3 linked regions of the Arabidopsis thaliana genome follow. The protein of the gene in region 1 interacts with the protein of each later gene in a pairwise test. Each region holds a gene or a part of one and is shown in the gene's direction. Other genes may lie near its edges.

The links.
Region 2: the proteins of TY1 (region 1) and AT3G56270 interact in a two-hybrid assay, tested with the Arabidopsis thaliana proteins (one large-scale study listed by BioGRID).
Region 3: the proteins of TY1 (region 1) and AT1G01440 interact in a two-hybrid assay, tested with the Arabidopsis thaliana proteins (one large-scale study listed by BioGRID).

The regions. Positions count from the first base shown.
Region 1 is NC_003070.9:28,811,142-28,815,063, reverse strand, and holds TY1 (thioredoxin Y1), read left to right. Parts: upstream 1-1,899; 5' UTR 1,900-2,115; coding exon 2,116-2,301; exon of another isoform or gene 2,302-2,576; coding exon 2,577-2,665; intron 2,666-2,856; coding exon 2,857-3,034; intron 3,035-3,125; coding exon 3,126-3,191; 3' UTR 3,192-3,379; downstream 3,380-3,922. Other genes in the region: AT1G76770 (HSP20-like chaperones superfamily protein), read right to left, coding at 686-1,272, 1,348-1,495; EC1.1 (egg cell-secreted-like protein (DUF1278)), read right to left, coding at 3,481-3,922. UniProt on the Arabidopsis thaliana protein: Thiol-disulfide oxidoreductase that poorly activates chloroplastic malate dehydrogenase (NADP-MDH) and fructose-1,6-bisphosphatase. Provides reducing equivalents for peroxiredoxin Q.
Region 2 is NC_003074.8:20,868,023-20,872,634, forward strand, and holds AT3G56270 (WEB family protein (DUF827)), read left to right. Parts: upstream 1-1,977; 5' UTR 1,978-2,197; coding exon 2,198-2,398; intron 2,399-2,692; coding exon 2,693-3,832; 3' UTR 3,833-4,085; downstream 4,086-4,612. Other genes in the region: AT3G56250 (uncharacterized protein), read left to right, coding at 60-134; AT3G56260 (uncharacterized protein), read right to left, coding at 177-770.
Region 3 is NC_003070.9:159,101-164,490, reverse strand, and holds AT1G01440 (hypothetical protein (DUF3133)), read left to right. Parts: upstream 1-1,537; 5' UTR 1,538-2,004; intron 2,005-2,210; 5' UTR 2,211-2,271; coding exon 2,272-3,923; intron 3,924-4,012; coding exon 4,013-4,073; intron 4,074-4,188; coding exon 4,189-4,412; intron 4,413-4,498; coding exon 4,499-4,556; 3' UTR 4,557-4,863; downstream 4,864-5,390. Other genes in the region: AT1G01450 (Protein kinase superfamily protein), read left to right, coding at 1-386.

The DNA.
Region 1 (3,922 bases):
GTCCTTCGAATCGTCTATCTCTCTCTCTGTCTCTGTTTCTACGGTGGATGATAGATCTTATCATCGCAGGCAAACAAATTAAGACGTGAGGCTTGTGTGTGTGATCTCTCTCGTCTTCTTCGTTGCTTTTTAAGTGAACAGAGAGAGCCGTTGTATATATGAGTCGTTCTTAGGCCAGACCAACGAATCACACCAAAGATTAGGGTGAATCCAACAAGCAGATGCAACAACACATGAATAATGAAATCTCAAAAAGGAAGAAGAAGAGAACAGAGAGGCAAACGAAGCAGACAGAAATCGAAGAAGAGAATTGAAAAAAATGCAGAGCAATTGTGTTTTTAACTTGAGAGGAGACGCGAGACGCAGGTATATAAATTTATTTGTTTGACATTCAAGTTTCCTTTTTTCCTTTTCACTTAGGGTTTGTTATAGTCCAGAGCAAACACAAACCTTAGGTTCGGTGATAATCTAGCCGTTATACACGGTTCGGGTCAAATACTTTCCATTTATTAGCTGATACGCTCCTACTAATTTTTGGTTTAGATACTGATTGTATTTTGATTGTATTACACGTTGACTTTTATTGTTTTAAAGAACAAGGCTAAGAAGAACAGATAATAAGAAAGTGGGTTCTATCCTTAAAAACCAACAAGAACCCTATCTTAAAAACCTAAGGAGTGTGGTTTCATTTATTTCTGGATTGAATCAGTTGAATAATGAAAACAATAATAGACATAAGCAGAGTGGATCCTGCAAAACATGGTAAACGAAACTTTTTTCTTCTCTTCTTTCTTGGTTTATCTTCGATTTCTTCTTCTTTTTTCCCCTCATGATCTCTTGTTCCTTCCTCAACAACCTCTTCTTCCTCTTCTCTCTGTGGCTCTTCTGCTTCTTCGTTTTCTTCCTCAGGTTTTGTCTCTTCTTTGATTTCTTCTTCTGGTTCTGTTTTCTCCTCTGTTTTCTCTTCTACTATCGGCTCTTTCATCTCCTCTTCTTCGTCCTCTTCCTCGATCTTCAGACCGGTAATTCCCTTAACTTTCTTAGGCATTGTAACAGTTAAAGTCCCATCTTCTTCATTAAACCTCGCTTTGATCTTGTCAAGAATTACAATATCTGGAATCCGAAACACTTTTTTGAATTCCTTTATTTCTGTTTCCTTTTTCCATTCCACCCACTTTACCAAAACCATCTCTTCAACCTGTTTTCTTCCGCTGATCTTAATCAGATTCCCTTCTTTGTTTATCTCGATATCGATACCATCCTTCTTAAATCCTGCATTTGGTTTTCAATCTCAATCTCTATGCTAGGTAAGAAAAAAAGGTGAATAAATATGAGAGGGAATAGAACCTTTGAGATGAAGAATGAGGAAGAAAACAGAGTTGGTTTCTCGAGAAAGTGAACGATGACCAAAAGAATCTCTGGCAACCCGAAAATCTGTAGAGGAAGAAACATCGTCTTTAGTCCGAGTGATCTTCAGACCTAATTCAAGCTCCATCTTTTTTAGTTGTGAGCTTCTTTTGATACATCTGTTTTTAGTTTTTGCTAAAGTCTCTCTCTAGTCCACACTTTTCTAGTTTTGTTTAAATTAGGCTATTTCATATCGTTTCTTTGAAGAGGCCCACAAGAACATATTCGTAACTTCCATCTTCAGGAAACTCAAAAACGGAGTCGTGAGTTTTGTCTTTTGTTACCCTCAACGGTTTTAACTGTCCCAGTTGCGTTGGCGGGAAGTAACAGCTATCTTTATAGTACTAGTTGATAATGATAACCCTTTGCGATTGCATTTACAATGAGATCTGTCATGTCATATGATTGAGCCTGAAGATTGTGAGCAAAAAGTTAAATTGAAGAGTGATCGGTGTTTGGGAACGGGCCTATAACATGTGGGCCTAGAACATGTTTGTGGGCCTATAACAAAAAAGATACGGTGTACTTGACCGTAGTGGATCATCATTGTCTTTCTAGTACCTTGTGTCATTTTCTTTCAGAGTTCGTTCTCTCTTTTTGGTCAATTCGAGTTTTTTTTCCACAAGTGTCCAACTTTTTTTGTCATCATCAACCTAACCAACCGCCAACGCCGAATCAAGAGATCGTTTGTTTTTTTCTGATTCTTTCATGGCGTCAATTTCTCTCTCTTCTTCTACGGTTCCGTCGCTGAATTCGAAAGAATCGTCAGGTGTTTCTGCTTTCGCTTCTCGTTCTATCTCGGCCGTCAAATTTCAGTTTCCGGTTCGTCGGGTTCGAACCGGAGACTTAAAGTTTCCATCTTTATCTTCAACGACTCGATGCACTCCTCGACGTGTAATCGCCTTTCTCTGCTTAAACATCTTTTTCCAAAGCTTATATTTTGTTCAATTCTAGCTTACTTAATTTTACCCTATGAATTATTGAATTCAAGCTTCAAACTTTCTTCTGATGGTAGAGCTGATGATAGCTTTCCTATTTTGAAATTTTTCTTATTTTAGTTTCTATAGCTGATTTTCTCTAGAGTTTGGAATTGATTTAAAGTGAGTGCCTTTATCTACTTCTTGATTTAGATTGAACTAAATGACAAACCATTCTTGTTCATACTTCAGATTGAAGCCAAGAAGCAGACATTTGACTCATTTGAGGATCTGCTTGTGAACTCTGATAAACCAGTTCTAGTTGACTATTATGCAACCTGGTGAGTTTGTTTTGGTGTCAAATGATAACATGTGTTAGTTGAGTGGTCATCAACCAGTTCTAGTTGACTATTATTCATCATGAATGAGTATACTTGGTCTATGTTGGGATCCAGTGTAGTCTGTTTGCTTATTATCGAGTTTATTTGTTAAACAGATGATTTGGAATCAGAATGTACTGTTTGTTTGGCAGGTGTGGTCCTTGCCAGTTCATGGTTCCAATACTCAATGAAGTGAGTGAAACCCTGAAAGACAAGATACAGGTGGTGAAGATTGATACCGAAAAATACCCCAGTATTGCTAATAAATACAAGATTGAGGCACTTCCTACTTTCATCCTATTCAAAGATGGGGAACCTTGTGATCGCTTTGTATGATGACTTCAATGCCTTTGAATTTCTTCATTTTCGTTTTAAGGTTCTTAATCTCACTCACAAACGTTTCTTTTTTTGTGATTTCCAGGAGGGTGCTTTGACGGCCAAACAACTCATTCAACGAATTGAGGATTCTCTAAAAGTGAAGCCATAGTTGGATCATGAACTCTTTTTTAATTATTTGTATGTTTTTCAACTGTCCCTGACCTATTCAGGACTTAGTGATAGCGATGTTTTTCGGTTGATTTAACTTGGAGAATTTGAGAAGAAGAAGATTATGTTTGCCAGATTTGTAAAACCTTGTTGTGAGTAATGATGATCTTTTATTCTCAAAAGTAATAACAGAGACGCTATTTTTCAAGCATTCGTCACCAGTTACATAAAGATTAAAATTCTCTTAGCAAAAGAAAACATAGCAGGAGTGTAAAGATGAATACTAAGACTCAAGGGTTAGAAGGAGAAGCAGAAGATCTAACAACGGTAGTCTTGAAATTCACGGAGAGAGGCAGTGTTGAGGAGGCAAGAGCATGGTCTTCACCATTGTTGTCAGAGTCATTGCCATCACAGTAACCTTGGAGCATATCACCTTCTTGAGCAGTAAAACCAAGAACACCAATCATAGTAGGCCAACACTTGCGTCCAATGGTTCTTATAGCACTGCAACACCCAGGGCCAATGTAAGTCTCACCGTTGAGGAAGAACAAGATCAGCTCTCCAGAACAGTGTTGGAGCTGCATCAGTGAGTCCCAGCAGTACCCTGTATCTTCATCAAGCTTGAGCCTGTACACAAGGCTTGTGGTAGGAGAAGACGTCCCCATGGATGGTTTCATGAGAGGGCGAGCTGTCACTGTGGAGGAAGCCACCATGAGCATGAGAGTCACAATG
Region 2 (4,612 bases), on another chromosome or scaffold:
GAACGTTCTTGGTTCTACTTAGACATGAATTGACGAAAAAGCCTGTCCACAATACACAGGTAAGGCCACGACTGAGAGACAAACTATATACTTACATTCACACACCAATAACTATAACACTCTCTGTTCAATGAGGCGAAGCAGCTCATAGAAAAAACCAAGCTTTATTCACATAATCAAGCTTTATTCATGTCGCTGATGATTAGAGCTTTACCTGTGGTCTCATGTCTCTTCATACCCTCCATTGACCCAGAGAACAGAGCTCTTGTCACACTCCCCATTGAAGAACTACAGCCAAGTCTTCCCCCGTTGGAGCAACACAGAGTCGAGGTTGGTGAAGACCTAAGCTCATCCTCTTCGTAGTTAGCGTACAGAAGTGGCGATTTTTTGTCGTGACTCATACGTTTTTTCAAAGAATGTGGTGGCGAGGAGGAAAAGGAAGATGAAGATGACGTAGAAGACCAAGAAAACGATGAGCTTGCCGTCTTCTTGCTACCGTGATTGCTCCTCCTGAGATCACTGAACATGGAGAAGGACAGAAACTTACTTAGTTTTGATCTCACCTTGCTTTGCGTCCTTGGTGTCGACAAAATCCCGGAGGAGTAGTATGAGGGCGGCGGTGTGAGAGGCAGAGGAAGAGAGGAATCGGAGCAGAGGTGGTTTTTGGGTGTTCCTGGCCTTGACTCCCATATGAATGGTATGGAGGCTCCGCCATAGTAGGAGGATCTCTCTTCATCGATTGCAAAGTCATCTTCTAGTCTTTCTGACATCTGTTTTTTATAAACTCTCGGTTTATGTTTGAGTCGGCTTTTGATGAGAATTGATGTACGAAAATTGAAACAACAAGTGCTAGTTTCGAAGCTTCTTTAGAGGTGACAAAGAGTAATATGTATTGCGAGTAAAACAAGTTTGCCGATGAAACAAAAGAATCTTCTTTGCACGGTTGTATATAATCGTGGATATTTATTCTGCTTTTTTATTTTCTTTAGGAAAAATTCATATGGATGAGCATATTACAAGTATATGGAAGATCATACATAGGGGAAAAAATTGGTTAGATAATAAATGAAAGGTGGCTATCTTACTGTATGCATTACTTAATGCGTTTTCATTAATAATAAGAGAGTCGTGAGGTGAGGATCACATTATTGGTAAACAGTTACTGTAGTAAGCATTGCTTAGAGTATTTAATATGTTACCTTTTGTGGGATTCCACTCTATAAACCTTTTTATTTGGTGTTCTTATAATTAAGGAAATAATTATTGACCAACAAATCCACACGTTTTAATATATATCAAGACTACTAACCTTGTTTGTCGTAATTTGAAACTACTGACCAAAAGTTTGGGGCATGTTCATCCAAAAGATATAATGGTTTACATTTAATGAAATGATAATTTAGATAGGATATAATAGGGAACTACTCAGAGTGTCAGACCAAACCATCTGAATACGTACCAATGTCAAGTGCTAACTGGTAACTCCCAACAATAGTAATTAGAAAAGATATATATATTTGTCGGTTCTAATTAGTTGGAAGAAACGTATGCGGAGAAATAAATAGAAACGTGAGAGATCGAAAGACGACGGTGATGAATTTGGACGGTTGAGTGAGGGAGGTCGTATAATTTAATGGTCGTTTCCAATCGTATTCGTACGTGGTCCGTTTTCTCCTACTCGGATTTTGCTTTAATGTGATGGCCACACAAATTGGTTAGAAAACTATAAGGGAAAGCTCCACCTATTTATTTCACTCATACATTTACTATACACTAATATCGCACGGGAAAATTATAACAATTTTCGGATATTCGTATTTGAACAGAAACAAACAACACATACGTAAGAATTTCCTTCACAAAAAAGCCCAATATAGACGAACTTGAACTTCGTACCAACGGCCCAATATCGCTTCCTTAATCAACGGCCCAAAATTTTCATTTATTAATTAATCAGATAACCAATCAATAGAAGCCACGTCGCCACAGCCATTAGTAGTAGCATCATCAAAGCCTGCATTCTTGTTCTTCGAGTCTCTCTCGTGAGTGACTTTCATTACCGAGAAAAACACAATCATAGAGAAGCTCTCAATCTTGTTTGCTTCTGATCAGTAACTATGATTACTGTAAATAGATCACTCTTTCATTATCTTTCCCTTTCACTTGTACAAACCAATTCGTTCTCGAGCTAACGGAAATGGCGGAGAGGCAACAGAGCCCTGCGGCGGAGACGATTCCCGGTACACCCGTAATCCGGGAAGTGAGAACCGGAACCGGGTCCGAGAATTTCAACCCGGAGAATACAAGGAGAGGATGCTTGAGAGCTGAAATCGACATTTCTCCACAGTTATATGGTGGTCGTGGGTTCTGGGTTCCCTTCAATCTTGAAGACAATTACGTGAGTTCTCTTCTAGTTTCCGATTTACAAAGTCTGTTCATTTAAAGTTTGAGCATTAATGTCACTGAAAGTTTGAAATGTATGTTCTCTAACTGTTAAGTATGCTAACAAACTGAATAACTGATAGCTGATTCGATTTGGTTACTGAGTAGATATTTTGTAATAAGTGATAGCTAATTTGATGTTTGCATTTGCGGCAATTGATTCTGGAACTAGCAAGATGTTATGTAAGATTTTTTTTTGGTATTATATAGCATGATTTGTTTTATGTTTTTTTGGTTTGTCATTCTTCAGGACTGTGTGGGAGAATTTGACATAAAGAGAATGGAAGAACAGACAGTGGAGCTTGAGAAGGATCTGATTATGAAAGAGTTAGAGACTCTGGATCTTCTTGAAGCTCTTGGATCAACCAAAAGGATTTTTGAAGATTTGAAGTGGCAGCTTCAGCAGCAAGCACTGAGATGCAAGGAGACCCCTCAACATTTGCGTTCACACTCCAAAGAGATGGTCGATGAGCACTGCCATCGTAATCCCCTGAAGTCTCCGGATCTGATGACCATGGAAATGAAGCAAGCTGGTATGAATCTTTGTAAAACCATGGATGATCTTGCGTTGATCCACTCTTATGCTGAATCTCTGAATATGAAAACGAAGGAAGAGAAAGATGTCCTTGGAGTAGCGTCTCTAGCGGAGGAACTTAACAGTTTGAAGTTTAAACCAGCAGGTCCTGATCAAGTAGAGAGATTCAATACCGAGAATTTACCAGTGAATCCACAATGTGAACAGATTAAGATGGTAGTTGAAACCTATGATACAGCTTTCCATAAACAGAGCAAAACCTGCCCGAGAACTGCAGATATGAGATTGGTTGCTGCAAGAAAAATGGAAGAGGCAGCAAGAGCAGCGGAAGCACTTGCGCTTGCTGAAATGACCATATTATCCAGCAGAAGAAACCAAGACGCTCTCTGCTTCCCTAAGACACCATGTTTTCCATTAACACTTAAAGCACAGATGAACAAAGAATTATCCACCAATGTCTCAAGAATAGAGATCTTGAGGAAGCTGGAGGAAGCTAACGAAGAAGTTAAACAAAGTAAACAAGCCTTGGAAGTTGCGTTAAACCGGGTAGAAATCGCTAGTGTGAAGCAACTTGAAGCAGAAGAGGCATTTCGGCAGTGGAACATAGAGTCATGGAAAGACCAGAAAGCTGTTGGAGCAAAACGCTCGATGAAAAGAGAAAGCTTTCCTCAGCGCTCTTTCTTGAGCCATATCAATCAGCACGAGCCACTGATCGATCTCCCTGAGCCAATGCTGAAACGTAACGTCTCAATGGGTAATGCTCTTAACCGAAAAGATGAGAAACAGTTGGTCACGCCGAGGAGAAAGTTTAGGTTCATACAAACACATCAAGCTTCCATTAGAAAAACAGAGTAAGCTAAAAAAATACCCAACCTTTGAAAACATGTTTTGCACATTTCGATTCCTGTTTTTTTTTATTCTTGGTTTGATCATTGATGGGTGTTGTTGCTTCCATCAAAAGCAAAACACAGATGATTAGAGTGAGATGTGTTGTTTTGACTCAAATGTGACAAAAAGAAAAACATTATAGTAAAAACTAAAGCTTCTAGTAATCATAATTAATTATGGGAGTTAGTGAAGGGCATTGATCATATGATTTAGGTGGTGGGCACTTTCTTAACTAATGCATTTTAAGTGTTAGATTAGCTAATTAGGTGATCCATAATCAATACCGTAGGTCCTCAACTGTTTATTTTTTAATAACGTTGGTCTTTATAATGTTTCTAGATTCTCAAAATAGAAACTGAAACATTCAGGTTGAACTACGGAGATAAAAACACATTTTACGATTTGACCAGTTTGTACTTTATACTGTATAAGTTTGGAGTGGTCAGATACAGAATGATGACGTGGTCAAGGCTTTTAAGACAATCTAGATATCTCCAATAACTTAATGCCACGTGTTTTAGTCTTCACAACAAAGATTTCGTCTGGAATCCTCGTATTGGCTTAGAGCGTGGGACCAAACGAAACCAAAAGAAGGAAAAGGAACTAAATAAATAAATAATTAAAAAATAAAGTTGAAAAGTAAGAGTGGCGTGGGTTAGCAAAATCATTGTCTCAGGCTAAAATGTGCCACTCCCAACACGTGGGCTACTCTTTTCCAAGTGTCAACTATCTGACGGTACGTTTGCA
Region 3 (5,390 bases), about 29 Mb from region 1:
AATCTACAGAGCTAACCAAAGTTTCACAGGTTCCTTTTCAAATGTTTGCATATAGGGTTGTGGAACGGGCAAAAACGTGTGAAAAGGATAATCTCCGGGAACCATCGGAATCAGGAAGTGAATGGGCTTCGTGTAGCGAGGATGAGGGTGGGGCAGGATCAGATGAGCAGTTGTCATATGCCAAGGAAAGAAGATTGTCATGCTCCTCAAATGATGTTGGTATGAGCAAGAAGCAGGTTTCAAATCTTCTGAAAAGAGCTTCTAGCCTGAAACCAATTCAAAAACCAGGTGAGATTATCATCAGCCAATATATATATATATATATAGGCTCCCTAACAAATATGAACTTGGTTACTTGTACTAATTTTTTTGTTTTGTGTCACTAGCCTTTGGATTCTGTTCAGGGACAACTCCGAGAGGACGATCAAGGCATCCGCCACTAAGCCCTTGTGGTGGGCAAAGCATGAGAGCAAACTCTGAGAGTCAGCTGATATTGATAAGCCCAAGGATACGACGATCAAACTCTGGACATGCCTCTGACTCTGAGCTTTCCTAGTCTGCAGGGAAAAAGAATAGGTTCATAATAGCAAGTTCAAAATGCTGTACAAGTCAAAAGACATACTAACTCGTATGTGGTGACACACACTCCACTACATATCTATCGAAAACGATAAAATTCTTCTTTATTCAAAGTTTCCTACAGATACTACTAGGCTCGTATATTGTTCAGGCTAGTGACTGATTGATTCAGTAGCTACTAGCTACAATATTATCTTAAAGGAAACAAATCATATGAGGCAAAATTATGTGCCTAGACTGTAGAGGCTCAACGCTGAAGTGAAGTAAACTAGGCCTGCTCCACTATTTCTACAATCTATCAAACACCATCAAATTACACTAATCAAATTTTGGGCTTCGAATGTGGATAAAAACATCAAAAATAAGGAACCTTGACTAATCTGCCTGAAAATTACCTTAACAAAAAAGGGGAACAGCGATTCCGCCGGGGACTAGAGACATGGCGTGGTTCGGAGCTTTGGCTCTGTCTCTCGTCAATTTCAATATCTCCGCCACCGCCGACTCCGTCACATCCATCCTCCGACGCTTTTATTATGTCATTGATTGTGATATGACCAAAAAGTCCCCACTCTAGTTTTAGATGAATGAAGCTATGATTTCTTTTTTTTTTTTGGTGATAAGTACGTTATTATGATTTTAATACCAACAGATTTGTCAAATATAACATTATAAGCAAGTGGAGTAAACAAACTAAGCAGCTGATTTGTACAAAAAATACTTTACAGCTATAACATTTGTCATTGTCACCCTAATATAAAATACAATTCCAACAACTAAAATACATCTCTAAACTTTTTAAAGATGATGATGATGAAAAGAATTCAAGTTATGAGCACGTCTGGGAACATGGCACACCATCTATTTTGACAAGATAATATTATACAATACATGTATAAAATACGTACACATTCATCGTTATAAACTAAACCCACCATGGCCATGATGAATAGTGTGTGTAGTTCAAGGTATTGTTGGTTTTGGAGCAGCGAGACACAAATATATCAAAGACCTAATTTGGTACTTTAACTTTCACCTTTCAAATGCAGTTAAATTCGAATCGATCCAACCAATTCATTAGTTACTACTATTTTTATTTTGTTGCATTATTTTTGGTCGTCACGTTATCTCTTGGTCAACTTGACCTGGTAAGACTCATAGTTTCTAGATATGTCAAAATTCTTAAACTCCATTGTCGATCTAATTGTTCCTAGTTGGTAGATTCCCGGGAAAACGAAGCAAGAAAAGTAGAGCTATTGTTCGAAGTCTTTTGATTATTTAAATAAATTCCTCTGAAATTTTCACAAAACTCCTTTAATATTAAAAAATGGCTGCGTCAAAGAGACTAAAAGCTTGATTCTCACCGGAGACGAAGAAATTGCCCAAAAAATATTCATAATACTGACGCCGGAATCACTCTTCTTCGAGGTGCGTTTGATTTTCCTATATCTCTCTGTCTTGTCTTTCCCGTTTTGGATGCTGTGCAATCATGGAAACTCTTGAACTAGTCTCTAGGAAAATTTTAAGATTTGCTCTACCATGTTACTATTCGCGGATTGGAGAAGATTCGATTAGAGAATTTGTTGATAATTTCGGATTTTGTTTGAATTCAAGGATTATTATTTCTGTTGCAGTTTAAACAAGCAAAACCCTAGAAGCTGGTCTTCGTCGGAGAATTTTTGTTTTTTTTTTCCGATGAGGACAAGCGGTGACGTTTATGGAGCAGATACTGGTTCCTCAAGAAGTGATGAAGACAGAGGCTTTAAGGAGGATCTCAATGAATCCGCTACTAGCCCGATGAGAAATCGCCTAGACGATTCGAATTCACGACCTGGTTCTCAGAGATTCGTCAAGAGCTCGAGAAAGGAGGAAGAGACTGATTCAGATTCTTCTTCTTCTAAGAACACAACCACCAGAAACAACCCAATTCAGTACACTGATAAACAACAAGCCGAGCTTTTGAGAAAGCTTGATTCTATTAAAGATCATCTTCTCCGTGGTGGAGGTAATAATGCTACTGTTGTTGATCAGCCACCAATGGGTTTCCATGCCCATCATGGACCTCCTCCTTCTTATTACAATCCATACCCTGAGCCATTTCCTTATGGAATGTATCCTACCGCGAGTAACCAACCTCATGTTCCAGCTTATAGAGACCCTTATGGATTCCCAGTGCATAGGATACCTCAAAACTTTTATCAAGGACCAAGTCATTACCCTAATCAGATGCCGCCTCGTCCACCCTATCCTCAAGGACAGTATGTAGACATTGGCTCTGATATACTTGAGTCACAGTTACAGGACCCTAGATTCTTTCCGGGTACGCCAAGTAGGTATGGTGATGTCCCATTTAGCCCGGCTTTGCACCACGGTGAGAAAGTTGGACCCTTTAGTCCACATGGTGGTGTTCACACGAGGTGGCCTAGTGAAATTGATTCTGAAATGGGTGGTGCTTTTGCTCGTGGGTATGTTCAACAAGCTGTGTCTGATACTGATTCACGTCGTTGCCATCCTCTAGCAGGCGGTGCGCCTTTTATTGCTTGTCACAGTTGCTTTGAGCTGCTATATGTGCCTAAGAAGAAGCTTCTTGGTCAGGAAAGGCAACAAAAGATGCAATGTGGTGCTTGTTCTGAGGTTATCACGTTCAGAGTTGTTGATAAGAAGCTTGTTTTCTCATCTTCTGCCCTGGGGGAAACTACGAACCGGGTTTCTGTAGAGGTTGAAGATAGAAGCTCACCAATCCCTGTGGTAGATGATTATCCACTCAATGATGAAGAACCAAGAATACACCAGGAAACGAAAATTGTCCATGCTGTATCGCCTAGTGATCACTCAAACGATGAAGACAGGTCAAGCATTTCTAGTGAGCCGCGGAAACAGGTCGTCAAGTCTGTTCGCAGCAGAGCCCAAGGCGCGAAGGTTCCTCCTCCTCCTCCTCCGGAAAAGTCCAATCTTCTTGAGCTCTTTGAGTATTCTAATGTAAACCGAGCTGCAATCACTTACGGAATGGCGCAGTTAGGGTACTATAAGCAAGAATCATACACGAAACAAGACTCCCTGAAATCAGAATCAGTAGCTACTGAGACAGATGTTTCTTATAATGAGTACTATACTAACACCGAGGAGTCTGAAGATTCAAGGATCTCAAAAGCCAGCAAAGAAGGGAGACGACCAAGAAACCGAAAGCAGAGTAGTGAGCACAGTTTCGCAGAGGTCACAAATAATATCAGTTCTAACGACCAAAACAACGAGCAGCTAGAGGTTTGGGTGAATGGGTATCTGATACCAGAAGATCTGGTTATTAGCGCTGAGAAACAAGCTGGGCCAGTTCAAGCTGGCAAATACTGGTATGTTTGGGGTTACGTTTTGATAAATCTACGTCAAAAGAATTGATCAGTCGTTCAAGAAACCATCTTTATGTTATGATTCTGACCAGGTATGATTACCGTGCTGGATTCTGGGGAGTGATGGGAAACCCTTGTCTCGGTATAATACCAGTAAGAACTTTCACATCTCTTCTATATTGCTTTGAATTCCAGTACACTGTTTCATAATTCTTTGTATTGATTGGTACTTGATGAGGAAATGGGAAACAATTGTTGGTTGATGCAGCCATTTATAGAGGAGTTTAGTCGACCAATGCCGGATAACTGCGGTGCAGGAAACACGAGTGTGTTTGTAAACGGAAGAGAGCTTCACGAGAGAGACCTAGAGTTACTATCAAGTAGAGGTCTTCCTCGAGGCAAGAACCGTTCTTACATCATTGATATAGCAGGAAGAGTTCTTGATGGAGACTCTGGTGAAGAACTTAAGAGTCTTGGCAGATTAGCTCCAACGTAAGCACAACACAATTCCATGTAATCAAATTTTTACATCAATCATTTAGTTGATTCTGAAATTTTATGGTTGAAAATTGAATCAGGGTTGACAAGGTGAAGCATGGATTTGGCATGAGGGTTCCAAGATCATTAGTCTCGTGAAGCTTCGTCAGCTTTGTTTTGACCTCTCTGATTTGTAAATTATTCTTTGTGATTGATATATAACACATCTTTGCTTATATTCTGACCCAAAACTTATTTGCTATTCTGTTTTTGGGTTTAGTTTCTTTTTTGGGGGTTCTCTTACAATGTTCCATTCTTTCTCTTACTTTTTTTTTTTTTGTCTAAGAGATAAACCGTATGGTTTTATATCTTGTGATCTGGTTTATGTAAATTGATCATTTTTTATTGTGGATAACCTGTTGCCTGTTGGGAAATAAAATAATATTTGTTTGATTTTGTGACAAAAGATAAATGTATATATTTATAGATCTGTCCAGGCTGTGTGTACTTGTTAAATCGTTTTCAAGAAAGAAAACACACTGGTATGGTAGATCCAAAATCAACTTCAAGTAAGATGGGTCCACGTAGCAAATATTTAAAGCCCATGGAATAATTTATTCACAATGGGCCTCGTGGTCGTGGTGTACCCTACTCCATATAAAAAAACAGAGTCGATAATCTAGTCTGTCTAAAACGACTAATTCATGTCTAAAGATTAGTTTATGTTTTAAATCACCGAGAACTAATTCTACCGTCTAGATAGAACGATTTTTTTTTTTTCTCTAGATAGAACGTTTAAAACAAAATTAGCATGAAAATTACCACGGTTATCAGAAGACAAAATATATTTTTTCGTCTAATTAGATGTGTAAAGCATAAACTAGATACTAATTTATATACTCACAAGTAGTTTTAGTTACAAGTTTCAACCATTAAATCTAAGTGCGAGGTCTCTGTCTTTAGTTGAAAAAAGAGAGAGAGAACAAGTCTCTA